3 linked regions of the Rattus norvegicus genome follow. The protein of the gene in region 3 binds, or shares a complex with, the protein of the main gene of each other region. Links are inferred from orthologs where the notes say so. Each region holds a gene or a part of one and is shown on either strand. Other genes may lie near its edges. The genes, in order: Tnfrsf17, Tnfrsf13c and Tnfsf13b.

Region 1 (6,923 bases), on a different chromosome or scaffold from region 3:
TAAATGAATTTCCTTTGATCCCATATAGAAGTCCCCAGTTTGTCTCCAGTACACATCTGTAAAGAATGGGTTTTAACAGCACTTGCTGCACCTGGTAGCCATGTGGCACATGCCTTTAATCCTAGCACCTGGGAGAGAGGCAGGCAGATCCCTGAGTTTGAGGCCAGCCTGGTCTACAAAACAAGTTCCAGAACAGCCTAATTTGGGAAAACATTATTTGGAAAAAGTACTTGTTGCACAAGCCCGACAACTTGAATTCAGAATTCACACCAAAAACGGGTGCGTCAGCAGGCATCTGTAATTCCAACTCTGAGGTGAGGTTAGAGGCAGGGACAGGGGAATCGCCTCAGAAGCTTGAAGTCAGCTATCCTGGAAACTGCATCAAAGTGTAAAGAACAAGAAGGACCCTGCCTCAGACAAAGTGGAAGATGGCAATCGGTTCCTGGAAGTTATGCCCTGACCTCCACACTTGCTGGGGTGTGCACCTACCCTCGCTCACACTGAGAAGACTAAGCTACTTCTCAACATTCCACAGTGTAACTATCTTCTAAAACATCTTTCAGGGATTGGACAAATGGCTCAGCCTCTAACAGCTCCACTGCTCTTGCAGAAGACATGGACTCGATTCCCAGCACTCACTTGGTGGCACACAACTGTGTGTAACTCCCATCCCAGGGGACTCTTTTCTAGGGGCACTGCATATACAAGTAGTACGCACACATGTATGAGACTAAACACCCACATACATAAAAATAAATAATAAAACATCTAATTCAGAGTTGCTCTAGAAATACACAAAAAGTGGAAGGGAAAAGCCTGCCTGACCTTGCTTCCATGTGAAGCAAAAGAAGCCACTTACAGAACAATGGCAGAGTGGTAGTTACCAGAGGCGAGGAGGTGGGGGAAATGAGAAGCAGGTGGCCGGAAGTCCAGGGCTGCAGTTACATAAGCTGCATCTGTAGAGCCAGCGTGTGACAAGGTGACTGGATAGCACTGGAGCACTTCAAATAGCAGAGAGTAGATACCAGCCACCCTCACCACCAGGAGGAATGGAGCAGGGCTGGGGATGGAGCTCCGTTGGCAGAGCTCGCCCAGCCTGCCCAGGAGGCTGTGGATTCAACCCCAGAACAGCACAAACCAGGACTGATAGTACACACCTGTAAAGCCAGCCCCAGAGAGGTGGCCGCATGAGGACTGGAGAGGCTCAAGGTAGTCCTGAGATACAGAGTCAAAGGCCAGCGGTGATACATGAGACCCAATCACCAAAAGGTCAACTGTGTGAAGATGTGGATGCATTTGACTGTAGTCACTGTCTCCCTATGTGTCTGTATTCAGAACATTATGTCATGTATTTTTATATGTACAATTTGTATGTTAAAAAATTTCGGGGTTGGGGATTTGGCTCAGTGGTAGAGCGCTTACCTAGGAAGCGCAAGGTCCTGGGTTCGGTCCCCAGCCCCAGAAAAAAAAAAAAAAATTCACTCTAGGTTTGAAGAGGTGGCTGAGTGGTTAAGAGACGATACCATTCTTTGAGTCTCTAGCATCCACTCGTAACTTCAGCTAGAGGGGATCTGGTGCCTGCCCACTTCTGCCATCCAGAGGTACTGTGCTCACATGCACAAAATATGAAGCCCCTTCCTGATGACATCTAGTCTGTGATCCAGTTCTGAATCAACTCATTGACCATTCCAGGTCAGGCAGCCATGGGGCTCCTGCTTTTGGTTAAACCACTCTCAGCCATACACATATACATATAACTTTAAAAACAATGAAAATGCATTCTTTTGTCTACCAGACCACATGGAGAAAAGAGTGAGTGAGTTTCTAGCTACTCCTGCTGCACAGGAAAGCAAATGGAGTAGGTGCTTTGCAGAAACAAAATGGTTAAAGAAGCAGGACAAGGGCTGTGAACACAGCTTAGTGGATACAGATTTGCAGCATGAGGACCCTAGTTTAAATCTCTAGTGCACTGGTGACAAGCATGTGCCTGTAACCTCCCAGTGGCAGAGGTGGGACCGAGACAGCAAAGCTGAAACCCCTTGCTTCTGCCCCACTGAGAGCCTGTCTCATGGCAACAGGGAAGGGAGTAACGGAGGGAGATAACCAGTGTCCTACTGTAGCCTCATGTGCACACGAGCCTGTGCACGCTCACTTTCATGCACCACACACACCATAAGAAAAAGGATTCAGGACCATGGCTGCTGTGTGTCTAAGAATCAATTCACAGAGAACAGTGCTATAAAGACATTTTTAGCCTAAGAGGCCCTCAAGTTGAGCATCTACTTCCCTGAGACTGGCACTCTGTTGCTTAATAATTATCCTTGAGATGGCTAGTGAACCAGGTTATTCAGTTTCAGCATTTTGGGCAGTAAAACATTCACAGTAAAACATTTGAATTGTATTAAAACCAAGATCATGGATCTTGCCAAATACTCTTTGCCTGAGAGTACCAGGCTGTGGTCCAGTATCGATACAATATCTCATTGGTGTGCTACATTGAGTCAAAGACACTTTCCAGAGAAGTCTCAAAGGCAGTTACCCAGAGAACTGGGGGGATGGGCCTTGAAAGGAGCCCTGCAAAGTAGGGGTCGATGTCACAATGTCTCTGTTTTGTTTTGTTTGGGGGACAGTGGTAGGCTTGGTTTGTTGTCATCTTGGAGACTCTTCGCCCCGCCTGAGCTCACACTCAATAGCTGAGCATGACCCTCACCCCTTTACCCCTTTGATCCTCCTGCCTCCACTCCCTACGTGCTAAGATGACAGGCATGTGCCACCGCTTCCAGCTCAAAATTTCAAGTAACTACCCACTAACACATTTGAAAGTGCTGTAACAGCAACAAAAAAGCCAAAGTTAAAAAAAGAAAAGGAAATGAAACTTGGAAGAGCTGCCCTTACAGAAATAGATTCCAAGACTCACCGTCAAGATGGCCTGGGCTTTGAGGCTTGTCCTTCAGGGCCTCCGGGTTCATCTTCCTCAGCAAGAAAGAGAGTGTGAAAAGTGCCAAACAGACGACCAAGGTCAGGCCCAAGAAGATCCAGAGAACCGTGTACGTCCCTCTCACTGAGCTGGTCATGCCTTTATCAAAGGAATGTCACAAAATGTACGTCCCTCTCACTGAGCTGGTCATGCCTTTATCAAAGGAATGTCACAAAGCAATGCAGCCAGGGCTCAGGATTCACACCTTCCTGACACTCGACTCCCTAGTGCATACTCATGAGCATCTTACTTGGGCTTAGACAAGGTCTCCTGTCAATCAGACTGGCCTCAAACCCAGCCGTATCCAAGGAGGACCTCTGGTCTCCACCTCCTATGTAAGTGCTGCAGTTACAGCAGCACCACGACCATACAGGCTGCTGGGACAGAGCCCAGGGCTGTGTGCATGCTAGCCCGGTGCGCCACCAGCTCATCTCCAGCTCAGTTCCTTTCGTTGTTTATGGGACAGGACCCTATTCTAGCCCACGCTGCCTTCACAGGGGTCGCATATCAGATAGCCTGCATATCAGACATTATGATTCATAACAGTAGCAAAAGCAGTTAGGATGTAGCAATGAAAATAATTTTATGGTCTCCACAAATGAGCAACTATCAAAGGGTTGCCACTTAGGAAGGTTAAGAACCACTGAGTTAGAGGCATGCACTGCCCATCCCTGGTTGACTTTTAAATTCTGAGTACCACTTAATTAAGAGCTGATAAATAAAATTGAGTCTGGTTCTGAATAATTCCCTTTGATCCAGGAGACATTTAAATTATCTTTTCTGGTTTTGATTCAGGAAAAGAAAAGAAAAATCTCCCCATCTCCTCTGTAACATTTGCTCTCTGGTAGATGGGCAGCATGTCAGGAGACTGCTCCCCACCAAGAAGCAACTATTGAGAAGCCGCACTTACTTGGATCACAGTAAGGCTGACAGGGTGCAGGAGGGTTGGAACATCGCAGGCGACACGGTTTGCAAGCATGCAGCAGACTGTCAAAATATTCACTGTGGAAGCACCGCTGAGCCATGGGGGACTGGAGCACTGAAAGACACGGGAAGAACAGACAAAAGAGTGTGGAAGGACAGCAGGTTCTCTGTGGAGAGAAAGATCCTGACTGCTCTTAGGAGGGCTGCAGGTATCGGGGTGGAGGATCTGAATACCTCTCTTTCTGATCCTCCGTTTCTAAGAGGCTTGGGCGGGGCAGCAGAGGGGTATATCACAGCAAACCATTCCTGAAACAGAAACCACCTATTTATAGAGGAGAGTCACCACCCAGGTAGCAGTTGCAATGTGGACAAGCTTGGGGCGTCAAGCTGAAAGTCCAGCTGCCATTTATGGATCATCTGTTTTGGGGCTGTATGACAAGACAGGCAAGACGAGGACTGCATCCCTTACATACCTAATGTCAACAGGGAAGACAAACTGGAGGCTGGAGCCAGTGGTGGCAGTGGCTGACCCAGAGGACAGACAGGAGGGAGCTGTCAACTCTGGCTACCAGGTGTCCTTTGGCAGTTGAGTTAAAGCAGGAGGTTGACGGGGCTCATCTGAGGGCACTGTGTCCTGACAGTTAATAGCATCCCCGCGGGTGCAGAGGTGTGACCTTCACTCCCAGCCCTCCGGACACAGAGGCCGGTGGGTCTCTGTGAGTTTGAGGCCAGCTTCATCAATAAGTGCTACATAGAGAGGCCCTGTCTCAAAAACAAAAACAATAATCCAAGACACATCCTCAGAAAGAAGCGAGCCTTACCATCCCCTGGAGATGATTGGAGACTTGGACTTACGGCTCATGCACATATGCTGTATCCTACGCGATCTGTAAAGTCGGAGTTAAGGGTTCAAACTTGAGTGTCACGGAGCCATGCCTATAGCCGCAGGACCCACGAGGCAGAGGCAAGGCGGTCTCCAGTGGAAAGCCAACAAGATCCTGTCTCAAAAAAAAAATTGTTTTAGTTTTAGGTTTTTTTTTTTTTTTCCGGAGCTGGGGACCGAACCCAGGGCCTTGTGCTTGCTAGGCAAGCGCTCTACCACTGAGCTAAATCCCCAGCCCTGTTTTAGTTTTTGAGACAGGGTTTCTCTAAGTAGTCCTGCATGTCCTGGAACTCACTCTGTAGACCAGGCTGGCTTCTAACTTACAGAGATCCACCTGCCTCTGCCTCCTAAGTGCTGGGATTAAAGATGTGTGCCACCACCAAAGCATGGGATAAAAGCACATGGGTAGTGAGGCCCACTGAACTACACTGAAGCAACCTTGTCATGAGACTACCTTAGGGGCTGAAGTGATGGTTCAGCAATCACACTGGCTGGACAGACAAGGGACCTGGCTCTGAATCCTAGCACCCTGTGAACATGGTAGTTCACAGCCATCTGTGACTCCAGCCCCTGGGATCCACTACACTTTTCTAGCCTCCATGGAGACCAGGCACACACATGGTCACAGACATACATGTGGGCAAAACACTCAGACACATAAAGTAAAATATAAATAAAAATAAAAATACATGATTGAACTAGGTTGTGCTGGCACACCCCTTTAATCCACCACTCAGGAGGCAGAGGCAGGCAGATCTTTGTGATTTCAAGGCCAGCCTGGTCTACAGTACAAGTTCCAGGACTGTTTCCTGGAGAAACTCTGGCTTGAAAAACATAAATGAATGATGAATGAATGAATGAGTGAGTGAGTGTGAGTGAGAGAGTGAGTGAGTGAGAGAGTGAGTGAGTGAATGAGTGAGTGAATGAATGATGAGTGAGTGAGTGAGTGAGTGAGTGAGTGAGTGAGTGAGAGAGTGAGTGAGTGAATGAATGAATGAATCCGTGCCATTGCCTTATCCTGGAAACTTCAAGGGCTGTGTGGCTTACCTATTGGAAGCCTGGGTAGATACTCTGTAGGACAGATTATTATGTACTCAGTCTACAAAGATGACTTGGTGGGTTAGGGACACTTTTCGGGCAGTCACGAGGACCAGTGTTGGAATCCCAGTACACACATAAAACACTTATAACTTCAGCTGGGATTTATGGGCTTACAGCCTACCTGATAAAACAAGAGCTTCAGCTAAGGGACAGTCTTTTGTTTCAAAGGAATGAGTGATGAGTCATAAAAGACATTTGACACCTGTCCTCCAACACACATAGGCACATGCATCTATATACCTGCACTCACAGGGTTAAACAAAGGTATACACGAATTAAACATATATGTCGACATGGCATAGTAGCACATGTCTTTAATCCCAGCATTCAGGAGATAGGCAAGCAGATCTCATGAGTTCAAGGCCAACCTAGTCTACATATCAAGTTCCAGAGCAGCCAGGCTATGCCTCAAAAACAACTGCTACTATCAATACTAATACTAATAATAACAATTATAAGTTACCAATTGTAATACATTTTATAAGCCAAAACCTGTGTTCATTCCACCCTTGACGTCTTTGTAAGTATAATGGGCAGTTAAGAAAATGGTTTGTGATTCAGATGCCTAAAAACAATTGCAGCTTTCCACATGTCCTAAAGTATGGAGAGATGCATGCGCTCTCTCTGAGCAGCCCTGATGGACAGCACTCCTTACAGAGACAGGGACAGAAGGCAGGCAGACTGAACAGATCTGCTCATGCCTTTTCCTTGTTACTTAATCAGAATCACTTCAGTTTGGTTTGGGTTTTATTTATTTGGTTTTGTTTTTTCCAGGTAGGTTTTCTTTCTTTTTGTTCTTTTGGGGTTTTTTTTTTGGGGGGGGTGTTTGTTTGTTCTTGTTTTTATTTTGGTGTGCTTGTTTTCTGTGTTTTGATTTTTTGAGACAGGATCTCATACTCACTATGTGACCGAGGCTGTCCTCAAACTAACAACGCTCTCTTCCTGCCTTGGACAGTGCATACCTGTCATCTCAGAACTTGGCAGACGCAGAGAGGAGGCTTGCAGTTTAAGGATGAGCTTCCAATTCAATGAGAAACC
Region 2 (6,923 bases), on a different chromosome or scaffold from region 3:
CACTATGAAATGGGGACGTGTGTGTGACTTCTCTCAGGTTCCTTCCCACTCTTCTCCTTTATTGGCCGAAGACCAGAGAGAGAACTTTGTACCCATCCCCCATTTCTCAAAAGAAACTGAGACTGAGGGAAACCATGTACCAGCCAGAGGCTTAGCTGGGATGGAGGGGTGCCAAAGGTTTGTATGTCAGGGCCCCATGGGGGTTTCACTAGCTTTTTTCACCCCCAGAGCCTAGACCCTGGTTATAGCCAGGTGGCCAGGGACAGTTCAGACTCCACCAGCCCCAGGCTAGAGTGGACAGCAATGGCCTGACTGATGCCTGTGTCACCTACCGTTGTCATTCGATCTCACCCTACTCCTCGCCTGACCCCTGGAGAGAGGGGCATCTTAGAAATGAATGTTCAGGTCCTGGAGGCTCTAACTGCCACTGGGTACCATTTTCTAAGCTAGAAAGGGAGTGTGCGGGAAAGCCAAGTGTTGCCAGGCAGCTGTGGTGAGTTCAGAGGGACTGGAAGGCAGGGCCAGGATTCAGACAAGACCCCGCAGAATGGGTCCACTTCTGATTCCCTTCCTATACAAGCTAAAGTTTGGCTTCCCTGTGAGGAAGAGGGCAGGCAGGAGGCATGATGGCTCCCTCTGAGTGTGCAATGTACCCCAGGAACTAGATAGAGAGAATTGGTAGCTTCAGAGCCAAGAGCCTCACTGTCGGGGGTTGGGGGGCAGCTTCCACAGGGGTGGTCGAGCCTCGGGTCAGCACAAGCTAGGCCAAGAAAGCCCAGCTCAAGGGGAGAACGGTTCACAGAAAGAGCACAAAGGATCTGAGCTCGGCCTGCTGCAGAGCCCCAGGCCTGCCTTGGCCTCTCTGTGAGGGAGTTGCTGCATAGGTCACTGCCCAGCGCACTGCTCATAGTGGCCTCCAGCTGGCCTCTGAGAAAGATTACCACCAGGATGTTCCATCAGCTTCCATTTAGACTCCAACCCGAGACTACAGACCTCCGCCTATGAATCACAGGTCTCTAGAAACAGCCATCATGGTGAAGATGGCATCTTACATGTCCTGGCAGACTCGGTCAAAGAAATCCATGGGTTACAGACACCAGAGACTCAGCACTACTCTGCCCAGGCCTCTCCTCTACTCCCCGCTTATTCTGAAAACTGATCTTACAACTAGGGTGTAGCTCACTGTGGAGTGCTGTGTAGCATGGGTCTGGTCCCCAGTACAGTGAAAGATAAAATTACAGAGAATCTTGTACTAAATACCACAGCCCAACGACCATCAGCAGCTGCTTCAAAGCAGAACAGCGCCCACAGCAGGAATTAAAAAAACACAGCACCCAGGTACAGATTATGCATCTTCCCCACAGCCTTTCTTTATTTAGATTAATTTTGGTTTAACAGTACCTTCCCCGCCCCCAGCTGAAAGGAAAAAACCTCTTACTCATAGCGCCTGTGTTAGTCAGTTTTATATTACTGTAACGAAACGCCCAAGGCTGAGTAACTTTATGAAGGAATGAGATTGATTTTAGCTTACAGCTCTTCAGGTTCGAGGGCCGGCATCTGATGATTGCCCTCTGTCTGGTGAAGTCCAGAGTTGGCACAGCCCATCACGCGGCGGGAGGGGGCGTGTTCATTGTCTCTTGTCTCTCTTTGTATCTTGGGGGCTTGGTCCTGATGGCTTGACCTCATCTTAGTCACCATCCAAGTATACCACTTCTAAACACCGTGAGATGAATTTAAAAATAATAATAATAAAGGGAAAAAAATCAGAATTTAAAAAGATTTCAGTTTTGGTATCATTTGGAGACCTGGTCTCACCATATAGCGCTGGTTAGCCTGGAACTCGCTATGTAGACCAGGATGGCCTCCAACTCAGAGATCTGCCTGCCTCTGCCTCCCAGTGTTGGGATTAAAGGCCTGTGCCACCATTCATGCCCATCTTATATTTGATAACTTGTAAAAGTGTGTGTGTGTGTGTGTGTGTGTGTGTGTGTGTGTGTGTGTGTGTGTGTGTGTGTACAAACTGGAGCTGTGAGAGCTGGTTCCTTTACAGACAAGGATATTCCTGGGGCTGAGTTACGGGTGGTTTTCAGCGGCCAGATATGAGTGCTGGGGAACTGAACAACTGGAGTTCTCTTCTAGGACGGCACATATACTTAACTGCTGAGCCACGTCTCCAGTCCGTCATCCAAAATTTTTAGAAAGAGATTTTCGTTTCCAGTCTCTGACTCATTAAAGAGATTAATATTCAGCACTTAAGCCTACCCAACCATCGGAAGGCACACAAACTTAAAAAAACGACCTCAAAAATGGAATGTTCTCAAGCCCAAAGCTAACACGGAAACAATCTCCTGCGGGTGGGAGCCTGTGGCCTGTAGTGTCTGGTTCTGCTGGGTTCAGCCCCAGGTAAAGGTCTCCATCACTGAAGGGTTGAATTCTTTTCTTTTCCAAGCTGTTGGGTGAAAGTCCATGAGCCCAGTAGGGCTCCCTGGGCTTCTCCGCTGCTGCTACTGCTCAGGGCCAGCTGTCTTGGTGGTCACCAGCTCAGTGGAGCCCAGTTCTGTGGCTGGCACTGGGATGCTGTGGCACGACAGGATGTTGTCTGCATCTTCTTTGAATGGAGGCCAGTTAGGAGCTGAGGCATGAAGGGTTTCCGAGGGGGGTACAAAGACATTTTCCAGGGACTCTGGGGTGGGAGAAGGACCAGGTAAGAAAGATCAGGATTGAATCCCACGCCCCCAACGCCTGTTCTAGAAGCTTCCTCTGGGACAGCCCTAGGAGGAGGAAGTGGGACAGCACATGACAAGTCTTCAAGACAGGAAGTGCTGAGTCCAGAGACTTGATGAAAGGTGAGGGACTCTAAACATTGGAAGAGGGGTGTCTGGTCAGCCCACTGGGCATAACCTAGGATCAGGGCCCTTGGGTTCTCCAAGGGCAGGGCAGACACCTTCATCCCAAACATCTCTTCTTGGGCTCTGGATCCTCTTGCTTGGATTAAGGTTTGGGCTGTGCTGTACTCCCTGCTTTATGACAGCCTCATAGTCAACTCCAGGACTCCCTCAGTCCTGTGTCCTCGTTCTGACCTCTCTTAATCACCAAAGGGTTGCGGCCTCCACACCACAGCCGCCCTTACACTCCCCAAGATGCAGTTCTCACCTTGCTGGACTCCTTCGGAAGTGTCCAAGGAGGCTGTCCTGCGCTGTTGCCGCCACCTCCAGCCCACCAGACTCACCAGACCCACCAGGGTCAGTGCCAGCACCAGTCCCAGGAGCGCGGGGGCACCGAAGAGCAGCGCCACATCGGGTCTCAGCCCGGAGCCCTCCTGAGGCTGCAGAGCTGTCCCGGGCTCCAGGCTGCTTGCTGTTGGTAGAGGGGATGAGGGGATGAGGGGATGAGGGGATGAGGGGATGAGGGGATGAGGGGGTGAGGGAATGAAGGGGTGAGGGGATGGGAGGTGAGGGGATGAGGGGATGAGGGGCTGGGAGGGAGACAGGGAGAGGAAGAGGGAGAGGCTAACAGTGAGGGCCATGGGGGAGGGGGCCCGCTGGTTCCAGGGTCAGCAGAGGAGCACGCCTGGTAGGCTGGAGACCTCGGGACAGGTCACGCCTATCCCCATGCCTTTGCTTACCATGTCTAGTTTCCGGCGTGTAGAAGAGCTCACAGGACACGCAGTTTCGCACCAGAGGGTCGAAGCACTCAGTCTGATTGCACTGGGTGGACACCGGGCTGTCCCGGCTCCTCCGGCTTCTGACCCGGAGCCTCCTGACGCCCATGTCGCCGCCGCATGCAGCTGGGACAGTCTGGGCTCTGGGTCTCTCTGGTCTAGAATGAAACCGCGACGCAGCATCCTCCGCCCCGCCCTTGCCTGCTGGGGTGGGACCACTGGGGTGGAGCTGCGACCTCGCCTGGAACCCCAGACCTCTTTCACCTGTAGTTCCTGCATTAAACCACTCAACTGTCACAGCAGACACGACAGACAGCTGAGCATCCTCTGCGCTGGGGGTTGGGAGGATGTCACACTAGAGCCTGCTCTTGGACAGCAGAGGGACCCTGCAGTCACCTACCCTCCCCAGGCCCCTGCTGCTGTGCCTCACTAAGACCAATTGTTTCCACTAACTCTCTGCCTCCAAGTCCCTCCTGCTTCCTGCTCTGCCCAATGTCGAGACATCAACAGTCTTGAGTGGCCTGGCAGAATGGCCACAGTGGAGGAACACCTATAAAAGACTTCCTAGTCTCACTGCCCTCTAGTCCTCCATATCCTTGCACACTGCCTGTCCTCGCCACCCTGGACTCCACAGGAGTGGGTAAGGTGTGGGGCCTGAGGACCACCAACGCAAGTCATCACCAACAACAGTAACAGGAAGGTTTAACTGACAAAATGCCATGGAGTTGGTAGAGAGGTGAAGACAAGGGGCCAGTGTCGGCAGAGCCTGGTGTCATAGATGGGGAGGCTAAGGTGACCTGTGACCTGTGGGACAGGCTGGAATAGCAGAAGGCTTGGGCTCTGGTAGAGCAGGATGCTAGGGAGCCACACAAACTTTCAGCAAGTGGAGCCCTGCGGATTAGCAAGGGACCTCCCTGTTCCCCAGTTCCTTTCCTAGGGCATGAACTTGTTCACATCTGAGCCTTGCCAGGCCCCTGCTGTATCAGGTTCTGGCACCCATCCACCCGTGTTCTCTCCCACCTGTCTCTCATCAGCATCTCTCAGACCCAGCCTCAGTCACACAAAGCTCTCTGGGTCTTGGATATACGCAGCCTCCTCCCCAGGGGTCTTGGGCTGGAAAATGCCAGAGGAGCTGTCAGCTAGGACCTGGGGCTTGGAGTTTCCTGGTGGACCTCATGGTAGGTCATACAGACCTCTGAGCTCTCAGGGTTAGTGACCTAGGGATGTCTTTAACAGATTCAAGGGATGGGGAAACATGGCCTCTGGGCTACACATACTGGAAACAGACCTAGTCACTGCTGTGGGATGCTGGGCAAGAGGGGAGAGCACCTTTGTTATGGACGGATGGGGTCCAGCCAGAGTGTGAGGCCTGGCATGGAGGAGACCTCATGTGTTTTGAGTGTGTGTCTCTCTCTGCCCTGCACTTTAGTGGGAAGGGCCCTTTGGCTGCTTCAGGTCGGAGACTGGGTGGAGAGGCACAGAGGCAGGTGCTCTGGTCCAGACTAGGGGATGATGCAGAGCTGATCATAGGGTGAGGGGATTAGAATTGGCAAGAGGAGATCCTGAGGACCCAGCCAATCTAGGGGTTCTGGCCCATTGCCTGTCCATCCCCTTGCCTATGGGCCAGAAACTCCACAGCAGGAAGGTGTAGGCGTCAGGGTAGCTGCAAAGGAGAAGTGGGGTCTGGGGGGTGGGGTGGGTGTTAGTGTGGGTGTATGGGGCTGTGGGGGGAGGGGGAGGGTATGGAGAGGAGCCAGGGCAGGGACAGCCCTTCCTTTCTCATAGGACAGAGGCATGAAGGTAAGACTAGAAACTTCGCCACAACCCTCTGCCCACACCTACCTCTGTCACTAACTGGGCTGCTGTTACTTGTCACTCTTAGGGCCATGGAGTCCTGCCTATGCACCAGGCATCCCAGCTTTTGTGTCGGGCACTGGAGCTGAATGGACTGAGGCTTGTGGGAACCCAGGGCCAGGATAACAGCCAGGAAGCCAGCCTGCAAGCAGGAGTTACTTCACTACAGAAGATCCCTAGCTGTTCCGGTTCTGACAGCAGACAGAGGTCATCTCGGGGTATCAAGCAAGAGGGCTGGCACTCACAGTCACAACTACAAAGTCCTTCGCCTCAGCCAGAGAGGGAGGTTTGATGTCTGGAAGGACGGGCGCAAAATTAGTCACTTGACACAAATGATTGTCAGGCATTTCCTACGGGTCCAATGGAGACAGGCGCCAGGCAAAGCTAGAGGCAGCCGAGGGAGGCCTGTGGGATTCTTGTCTGTGGTGTGTCCAGGTGCCTGACCTCAGCCAGACATTTTCACTTGAACCTCTGAGGTGGGGTGGGGGCAGAGGCTGTGGTGGTCCTTGAATCTCTACTTGGACGGTTTCGTTTCAACGGTTAAGAAGAGAGATTTGGGGACTAATGGCGTCACTCCGTTGGTAGAACGTTTGCCTAGCACGCGCAAAGCTCTGGGTTCCAGTCCCAGCACTGCAATGACTAGGGTACTGGAATACACCTGTGTCTCAGCATGGCACCGGGGACCTGGGAGCCCAGAAGGCCAAGGTTATCCTTTGGCTGCATAATGGGTTTGAGGAGTTCATCCTGGGATACACAAGACCCAGAGATGGGGCTGGAGAGATGGCTCAGCGGTTAAGAGCACTGACTGCTCTTCCAGAGGTCCTGAGTTCAAATCCCAGCAACCACATGGTGGCTCACAACCATCTGTAATGGGATCTGATGTCCTCTTCTGGTGTGTCTGAAGACAGCTACAGTGCACTCATATAATAAATAAATAAATCTTTAAATTAAAAAAAAAAAAGACCCAGAGATCCAGAGAGAACAAGACCAGGAGCAGGAGAGAGGGGGAAGGGGAAAGAGAGCACACTGGTGCAGGAAGTGCTAGGCTACACCTCAATGTATTGTTAATTCTTTTTTTCTTTTTGAGACAGGGGTTCTCTGTGCAGCTCTGGCTATCCTGAAACTCCCTATGTAGACCAGGCTGGCCTTGAACTCAGAGGTTTATCTGCCTCTGCCTCCGGAGCACTGGGACTAAAGGTGTGCACCACCACCACCAGGCTACTTGTTTACTTTTTAATACTAACTTTATAGGCATGTGTGTCTGAGTATACGTCTGTGTGCAGTGTGTGTAGGTACACCCTCAGAGGTCAGAAGAGACCATAAGATGCTCTGGAGATAGACAGATGTGAGTCACCCTGGGAACTGAACTCCGGTCCTCTGCCAGAGCTCAGTACTCTTTTTTTTTTTT
Region 3 (6,923 bases):
TTTTTCTCTTATTATTATTAAGAATCTTTCCAAACACATTTAAAGGATTAAGAGTGAATTGTTGGTTATGATAAGCTATTTGGCAATTGTTTAATCCTGGATTTCCCCACATTTCTGTTTATCGTATTGCAATAAAATGACCTTATAAAATGCACTAAGCTTAATAAAATATAATTCAAATTCAAAATAACTTAAAAAAGTATGCCAAAATGCTGTTTTAAAATTAAGTAAAAGTACTCTATCCCCAGAGGACTCAGAGGACTTGTGTGGGTCTGCCTTTCTCTTCTACTGCTGTCAGAAGAGAGAGAATGGAGATACCCACAGCTCAGAAACAGATGTAAGCAGTTCCCAGTAAAAGCCTCAGCGGACACTTGTGAAAGTAAAAGGAACACACCAAGGTTAGTTCAAGTCCAAGAAAACAGTCAGAACAACCAGGTGTAACAAAATTTACAAAAATAAACACGCTTTTATCAATAAAAAAATAAGACTCCAGTAAACCAATAGAAAATCCTTGTGTTTCAGATAACTTTTGTGGATTAGTAGATAATCACAGTGGTCACTGATAAAGTACGTTTCCCTAATTCAGAAGGAGAGTATAGGAAACAAGAGTCGATACTTTAATTGTCCAGGAACAGGAGACATTTCCCTTCCTTGAGACTCAGATCTGCAACTTTCTTATCTTGGATTTATGAGTATTGGGGAAATATAAATGAAGAAAAAACAAAATATGTGTATCATATATTGACAGTACATTATTCTTTAAATTTTACAAATTATTAATTAATTTTCCTCTTCCAGTTTCGTCAGCCTGAAATATTTGGATGCACAAAATCACAAACCTATAAAATATGCAAATGTGAAAATTATTTAAAATATATCATTATAGGATATTTAACCTAGTCTCTCTCTCTCTCTCTCTCTCTCTCTCTCTCTCTCTCCCCCCCTCCCCCACTCCCCCTCTCCTTTTTCTTCCTATGTAGCCCTGTTGGTCCAGAACTTTCCATATAGATCAGGCTGGGTGTTGAACTCACAAAGTTCTGCCTGACTCTACCTCCCACGTGCTGGCATTAAAGACATACACCATAATTCTCTCCTATTCTTTACTCTTAAACCTTTTAAAATGAGTCTATGTCCTCTTTAGAATGGCAAAGTTATTTTTGAAACCAGTCTTTAGGAAGCCTGGAAGTGTAGGAGACATGACTTAAGATCACTGTGGCACCCTGCCTGACTGTGTATTGATGTCCACTAAAATGTAAAACTACTTAGTCCATATGAAGCAGAAGGGTAGAGGAAGAAGCTGGCGATAAAACTATCTCACATAAATTCAGTCGCGTATAAAGAACTTGATGCCCCAAGTTCACCAGCACAAGCATTCTGGAGAACACTTTCATGCTTTTGTTTGAGACAACAGCCTGAAGCGGGATGGAGAAAGGAGGAAGTTATACCAGTGTGAGAGGCTTTACCACAATAAGAGACACAGGATTAATAGGTTAGGAGCAAAGGGACACTTAGTCAAAACAAGAGGCAAGTAAAGGGGATCGTAGCTTGCTACTTAGGGAGCCAGGGGCTTTAACTTAAACCAGCGGAAACAAGAATCTCTTTAATAAACACACCACACCTCTCTATAGGTTTGAAGAAAATACAAGACGCAGTGCAAGTATTTACATCAACGTCAAATTGTAAAAAAAAAAAAAAAAAAAAAAAAAACATAGGCTAGATAGCCAGCCAATCGACAAAACTTAAAAAAAACATAAAATTGAAAGTAAAATAAGAACACGTGAAAAATATTTACAATTAGAGAATGGGGTTCACACTTAAACTTGAGAAGCAAGGCGAAGCTATAAAACTATCAAAATGAAGGTATAAGGACGGAATGCTAATGAGTACATAGAAACCTGTGACCCAAAGAGTTCAGAGTAAGAAAGTCGAATAATAAACTATGGTTCTATCGAATGCATAATTCCTCAGAAACAAGAGATACACAAAAAATTTGTGTGTATCTTGTATCAATCACAGTAACAATAAAATAATTATTTAAAAGACAAATAGTAGATTAGACCAAGGGAATTACTAAGAAGTCTGTGAGATACTTGTTGTAAAATAAAAAACAGAATAAAGCAGGGTATAGTGCTTATACAGTTATATGTACTGTGATTATGAGCTATTATTACATACACCGTAATATATAGCATGTGATGCTCTGTAACTGTGTGCTATTATTCCCTCATTGTGGCATGTGTGCTAGTATTGTATACATCGCACTATATATGCTAAAATCATTTCAGCAAAAAAAGATAGAAGGTCACTCACACTGAATACAGTAAATTTCAAATTTGTGCAAAATGTTTAGTTCTGCAGTGCATGTAATAACTCCACGCACTCTTTTAGCATGTAACTTAGAACTCAATAATTTTTGTTGTTTATTTTTAAGTCACTTAATAACTTAAAGTTAATTTTAACTCAGTTGAAATTATTTTAACTTATTTTTAGGTATTTTTAACTCGGATTATCGGGTAAATTTTTTATAAGAATAAAAAAGCAGACAACAGCAGGGATGTGTTAAATCGTATTGCTAACAGACAAGTATTGCTTCTTTTTCCCCCATGAAGTAAGAAGAAAAGTTCATTTTTAGTAGCTCCCAACTCTGCAAAACGCTAGAGAATGGACAGAAATCACCAAAGCCACAGCAGAATGATTACGCGGGAATTATGTTGCATGTGGCAAGGGTACATTACAGTCTTTGCCATTTCTGTGTGGTTTGCACCTGCCCCCACCGTGTGAGTGTGCGCGTGTATGTGTTAAGAAAAAAATTAGTAAACCCTCATAATGCAGGGTTTGTCCTACCTCAACTTTGCTAGAACAAGGGAAATCTGAAAAATGCTAGGGAATGGCTTCTTAACCAAGATCCAGGTGGTCACATGACTCTGCGGTGACAGGAAGAACTCTGCTGCTAAGTTCTTGAGCACACCATCACTGTGAGGGATACGTGCACCCTATCCTCCTGTCCACATGCCCTGCTCAGTGTAGGGGAAGGCACGCCACGCAGCCTATTGCATTTGCTACAAAGCCACACAAAGTGCTTTGCTCACCGCCGCCGCCGGGCGGGTGCAGGTGTGCACAGCACCGCCCCAGCTCCTAACTGCTGTGCCCCAGTCATACCTGTTTCCTCCGGTCCCTGGAAAGCGCGTCTGTTCCTTTGGCCTCGGCTGGAGTTGTGGGGTCCAGGAGCTGCGGGTGTTGGGAGCTGGGAATAGAGACAACCAGTTACTGGACAGCAGCAGAGTGTCATACCTGGTGCTCCTGCACAGGCAGAGCGGGGGAGTGAACTCACTTTGACTCCCGCGGACAACCCTGGAGCCCCCGGGGCGGCGGGTGTCGCTGAACTTCGGTAGCTCTGCAGCTCCATGCGCAGGCTCATCAGGTCTGCTTGCAGGACAGCCAACTGGTACAAGGACATCGCTGTGAAACTGCTGGACAACAGAGCCAGCAGGAGGGTAGCAGCCAGCAGCCGTCTGTCCCTGCAGATCCCAACCCAGGCACCCTCCTTCTGCGGAGTGATGGGAACATATCCCACTTTCATATCTTCTCCTTTCTCAGGGCAAAAACAGAGGCGCGGTGGTGGCAGGTTCTTTGCAGACTTATCCATTCCAAGAGGAGCACTTTGAAGGTCTGGGCCTTTGGAGTAAGTGACCATGGGGGTAGGTCATTTCCTGTCATCTGTGTCTCAGGAGGCTGCCCTCAGAGCATGGCACTCTCCTGACTTTCTCTCTTCTGCATCTTTTGCTACCCTGAAGTAGGTTCTCTGGCTCTGGCCTTCCATTGATTGCTCAATCTGTCTTCCGCATTTCACTTTCAGTTTTTGTAAGATTTTTCATTCTATCTCAATATAGTCCTGTTTGTGGGAGATATGAGGCCTCTGACACGACGGCTGGGAGCAGCTTGAGATTCAGACTGGCTTACTCCAGACAAGTTTATCGAAGGTGCTTTCCCTTCGGCATGCCCTTAAGAACTGTCTACTTGGAGCCACATGGTTTCTAAGGAAGAGGAAAGGGGACACTGAAGGCCTAGTGGTGTAATAAAGGATAATTAATGTGCAAGTCAGATAAGCCCAGTGCTCGAGCATGAACTGCATTTGGCTGCAGGACAAGGAAGCTAACAGCTCCCCGGTGGAAGACGAAATGGAGTGTCATAAAGCGGAGTGAACTCCACCCGAAGTTCTCTGCTCTCATCTTGACATGACAACGAAGAGAACGTGGTAGAGATCTATTTAAGGCCACACTGGGGACTCTTTAAATGTGGGGTGGATTACAGGGAAGCATGGCTTCCTCTTTGCCTTTGAGACTCGGTGTCAGAGAGCTGTTAGGCTCAGATCTCTCTCTCTCTCTCTCTCTCTCTCTCTCTCTCTCTCTCTCACACACACACACACACACACATACACGCACACACACACATACGCACATACGCACATACGCACATACACACATGCACATACATGCACACACACAACGCACATACACATGTGTGCACATACATATGCACACACGCACACACACATGCACACACACACACGTGTGCACACACATGCACACACGCACACACCGTGACCTGTGCTAGGAGCTGATGTAGGATCTCCACATTGATGGCACTCATTTCACAGCTATGGACACAGAATGTCTTCAGTCTGTGCTTGGGCTTGGTGACATGCAGACACTGTTTCATTCATTTTAGTCTTTCCTGGTCTGGAAGGCTGGTTGGGGGCCTGGTACCTCAACATCCATTTATCTTTCAGTATAGGCCATTGAGGATTTAGCTTAGTCACTGTATAAACTTCAGGCTGCTGGGGTTTAGCCTTATGCTGCCTTCCCTCCTAAGCTTAAGAAGAAAATCTCAGAAACAAGGATGCACAGCTGCAAGAACTCCAGAGGGAGGCTTCCCAGCCACCCATCCTGCTTCTGTGCCTGGCTTTCCCTATGTCAATTACAGAATTAGATCAGTTTCTTTCTTCCTTTCTTTCTTTCTTCCTTTCTTCCTTCCTTCCTTTCTTTCTTTCTTTCTTTCTTTCTTTCTTTCTTTCTTTCTTTCTTTCTTTCCTTCTTTCTTTTTCTTTTCTTTTCTTTTCTTTTGCAAGACATGGTTTCTTTGCATATCCCTCGATGTTCTGGAACTCTCTCCATAGACCAGGCTGGCCTAGAACTCAGAGACCACCCCACCTGCCTCTGCCTCCTAAGTGCTGGGATTACGGGTATGCACCACCACCACAGCACAGAGGGAGGATTCTTGCTGTGGTACTCAGTGCTAAAATTGGTATTTTTATGATTGTCACAGTAATATCTGCAGGGGGTCCCCACCAAGACACATCTTCCCTTTTGCAAAGTGTCAAAAAGAAATGCTGTTGGATTGTCATTTCCCAACTCATCCCCGAGTGATGCTAGGAGTCTTCTTCATTGGGACTGCAGGCTTTCCTTTCTTTCGTTATGTGAGTTCTAAAGAACTTTGTAAGCCAGTGGCTGCAATCTTTACCCCCCAAACGAGCTGTTCTCTAATCTCCAAAGTGAAAATAGGATATTAAGTATGTGGGTGACTTTTCTTTTTTTTTTAAATTTTTAATATTTTATTTATTTATTATCTATGAGTACACTGTAGCTGTCTTCAGATACACCAGAAGAGGGCATCAGATTTCATTACAGATGGTTGTAAGCCACCATGTGGTTGCTGGGATTTGAACTCAGGACCTCGGGAAGAGCAGTCAGTGCTCTTAACCACTGAGCCATCTCTCCAGCCCCGTGACTTTTCTTTAGGTCTGACATCAAACGATATTTGGGTGACTGAGCTTCAGTCCAGCATCACAGGCAATGACTACTGGTAGTAATAGGGACCTCCACTCAGAGACTAAGACATTAAGACTCACTCATGAGACTTAATGGTAGGATTAGAATTCCACCACATGATAGGCCGAGATAGGAGGATTGTGAGTTCAATGTTAGCCTGGGCTCCATAGTAAAACACTGCTTCAAAATCAAGCACATATCTCAGTCATGTTTTATTACCAAATGACGTACAGAAATTAAATGACTAGAAGGAGTGTGAGACCAAGACACAGCACCTTCCTCTTGGGTCTCTGTATAGTTTATTCAGAGGGAGTTATCTAGCCGGGCTAAAGGACACCCTTCATCTTTTCTACTCGATTAGGGAAAGAACTTCATGGTCAAGCTCCTTAAGTTAAAGCCCAGGCAATCTGAGTTCAGGTCATTTTAGAATAAGCATCCGATGTTGATTCAGGGAGTGGTGTCACTGGGTATCAATGGCTACTGTTTAAAAAAAAATGGTTGCCAGGGAGCCTCCCTCTGGCTGGCAGGCACCATTGTTGGCATAACCACTGCAGAGTTCACACCAAAACAGCTCCTTCACATTTATGACTCTTTGGTTTCTTAGGAGATGAACAAGACAAAGTTATCTCTCCCTAACTCAAAGGTTTGTTTCCTGCACAGGAAATGGTTTGATGATTTAATCAGAGCTTTGCTAGGTGAAGCTCAGCACAGCACTGGTGTGTCCGTTGTCCTTAGGCGGTTTATGGGTGTCCGTCACGTAAGGCCTGTCAGTTGGAACGCCAGATAGTTCGACCTTGTTTTAATGCACTGAGTTAGTCTGCATTGGGTTGTTGAGGACATTCATACTCGGTTTTCTTGAGAAGGGGTTGCCGCTTCCTGTGGGTTTGTTGTTTGTTCGGGATGCTGGGATGTTGCTATTTCTCCTCTACTAGTATTGGCATCGTCCTGATTGACTGATTGACCATGGCTGATGCAAGCTCTCCTTTCTTCCTGCACTGCTCTCATGTGTCATTGTTTCCTGTGCCTCACTGAATGTGTGGTTCGTGCCTTAGGTGTCACCCACTCTGGAGGAGGGCCTTCTATGCTCAGTCAGAC

The links.
Region 1: the proteins of Tnfsf13b (region 3) and Tnfrsf17 are in contact, whole or in part, in a crystal structure (PDB 1OQD), measured with the Homo sapiens proteins. The link is inferred for Rattus norvegicus from reciprocal best matches to the Homo sapiens genes TNFSF13B and TNFRSF17. Residues at the interface, in NP_006564.1 of Homo sapiens: Ser162, Tyr163, Lys204, Thr205, Tyr206, Ala207, Met208, Gly209, His210, Arg231, Cys232, Ile233, Glu238, Pro264, Arg265, Glu266, Asn267; in NP_001183.2 of Homo sapiens: Tyr13, Asp15, Ser16, Leu17, Leu18, His19, Ile22, Arg27, Ser29, Ser30, Asn31, Thr32, Pro33, Pro34, Leu35.
Region 2: the proteins of Tnfsf13b (region 3) and Tnfrsf13c are in contact, whole or in part, in a crystal structure (PDB 1OQE), measured with the Homo sapiens proteins. The link is inferred for Rattus norvegicus from reciprocal best matches to the Homo sapiens genes TNFSF13B and TNFRSF13C. Residues at the interface, in NP_006564.1 of Homo sapiens: Ser162, Tyr163, Asp203, Thr205, Tyr206, Ala207, Met208, Gly209, His210, Leu211, Thr228, Arg231, Cys232, Ile233, Pro264, Arg265, Glu266, Asn267, Ala268; in NP_443177.1 of Homo sapiens: Asp26, Leu27, Leu28, Val29, Arg30, Val33, Leu37, Leu38, Arg39, Pro41, Arg42.

Annotation. Positions count from the first base shown.
Region 1 is NC_086028.1:4,809,655-4,816,577, forward strand, and holds the start of Tnfrsf17 (tumor necrosis factor receptor superfamily member 17), read right to left. Parts: upstream 4,119-6,923; 5' UTR 4,003-4,118; coding exon 3,888-4,002; intron 3,077-3,887; coding exon 2,918-3,076; intron 1-2,917. UniProt on the Homo sapiens protein: Receptor for TNFSF13B/BLyS/BAFF and TNFSF13/APRIL. Promotes B-cell survival and plays a role in the regulation of humoral immunity. Activates NF-kappa-B and JNK.
Region 2 is NC_086025.1:115,614,800-115,621,722, forward strand, and holds Tnfrsf13c (tumor necrosis factor receptor superfamily member 13C), read right to left. Parts: upstream 3,849-6,923; 5' UTR 3,771-3,848; coding exon 3,626-3,770; intron 3,358-3,625; coding exon 3,154-3,357; intron 2,684-3,153; coding exon 2,505-2,683; 3' UTR 1,340-2,504; downstream 1-1,339. UniProt on the Homo sapiens protein: B-cell receptor specific for TNFSF13B/TALL1/BAFF/BLyS. Promotes the survival of mature B-cells and the B-cell response.
Region 3 is NC_086034.1:86,190,666-86,197,588, forward strand, and holds the start of Tnfsf13b (tumor necrosis factor ligand superfamily member 13B), read right to left. Parts: upstream 3,835-6,923; 5' UTR 3,695-3,834; coding exon 3,332-3,694; intron 3,245-3,331; coding exon 3,160-3,244; intron 1-3,159. UniProt on the Homo sapiens protein: Cytokine that binds to TNFRSF13B/TACI and TNFRSF17/BCMA. TNFSF13/APRIL binds to the same 2 receptors. Together, they form a 2 ligands -2 receptors pathway involved in the stimulation of B- and T-cell function and the regulation of humoral immunity.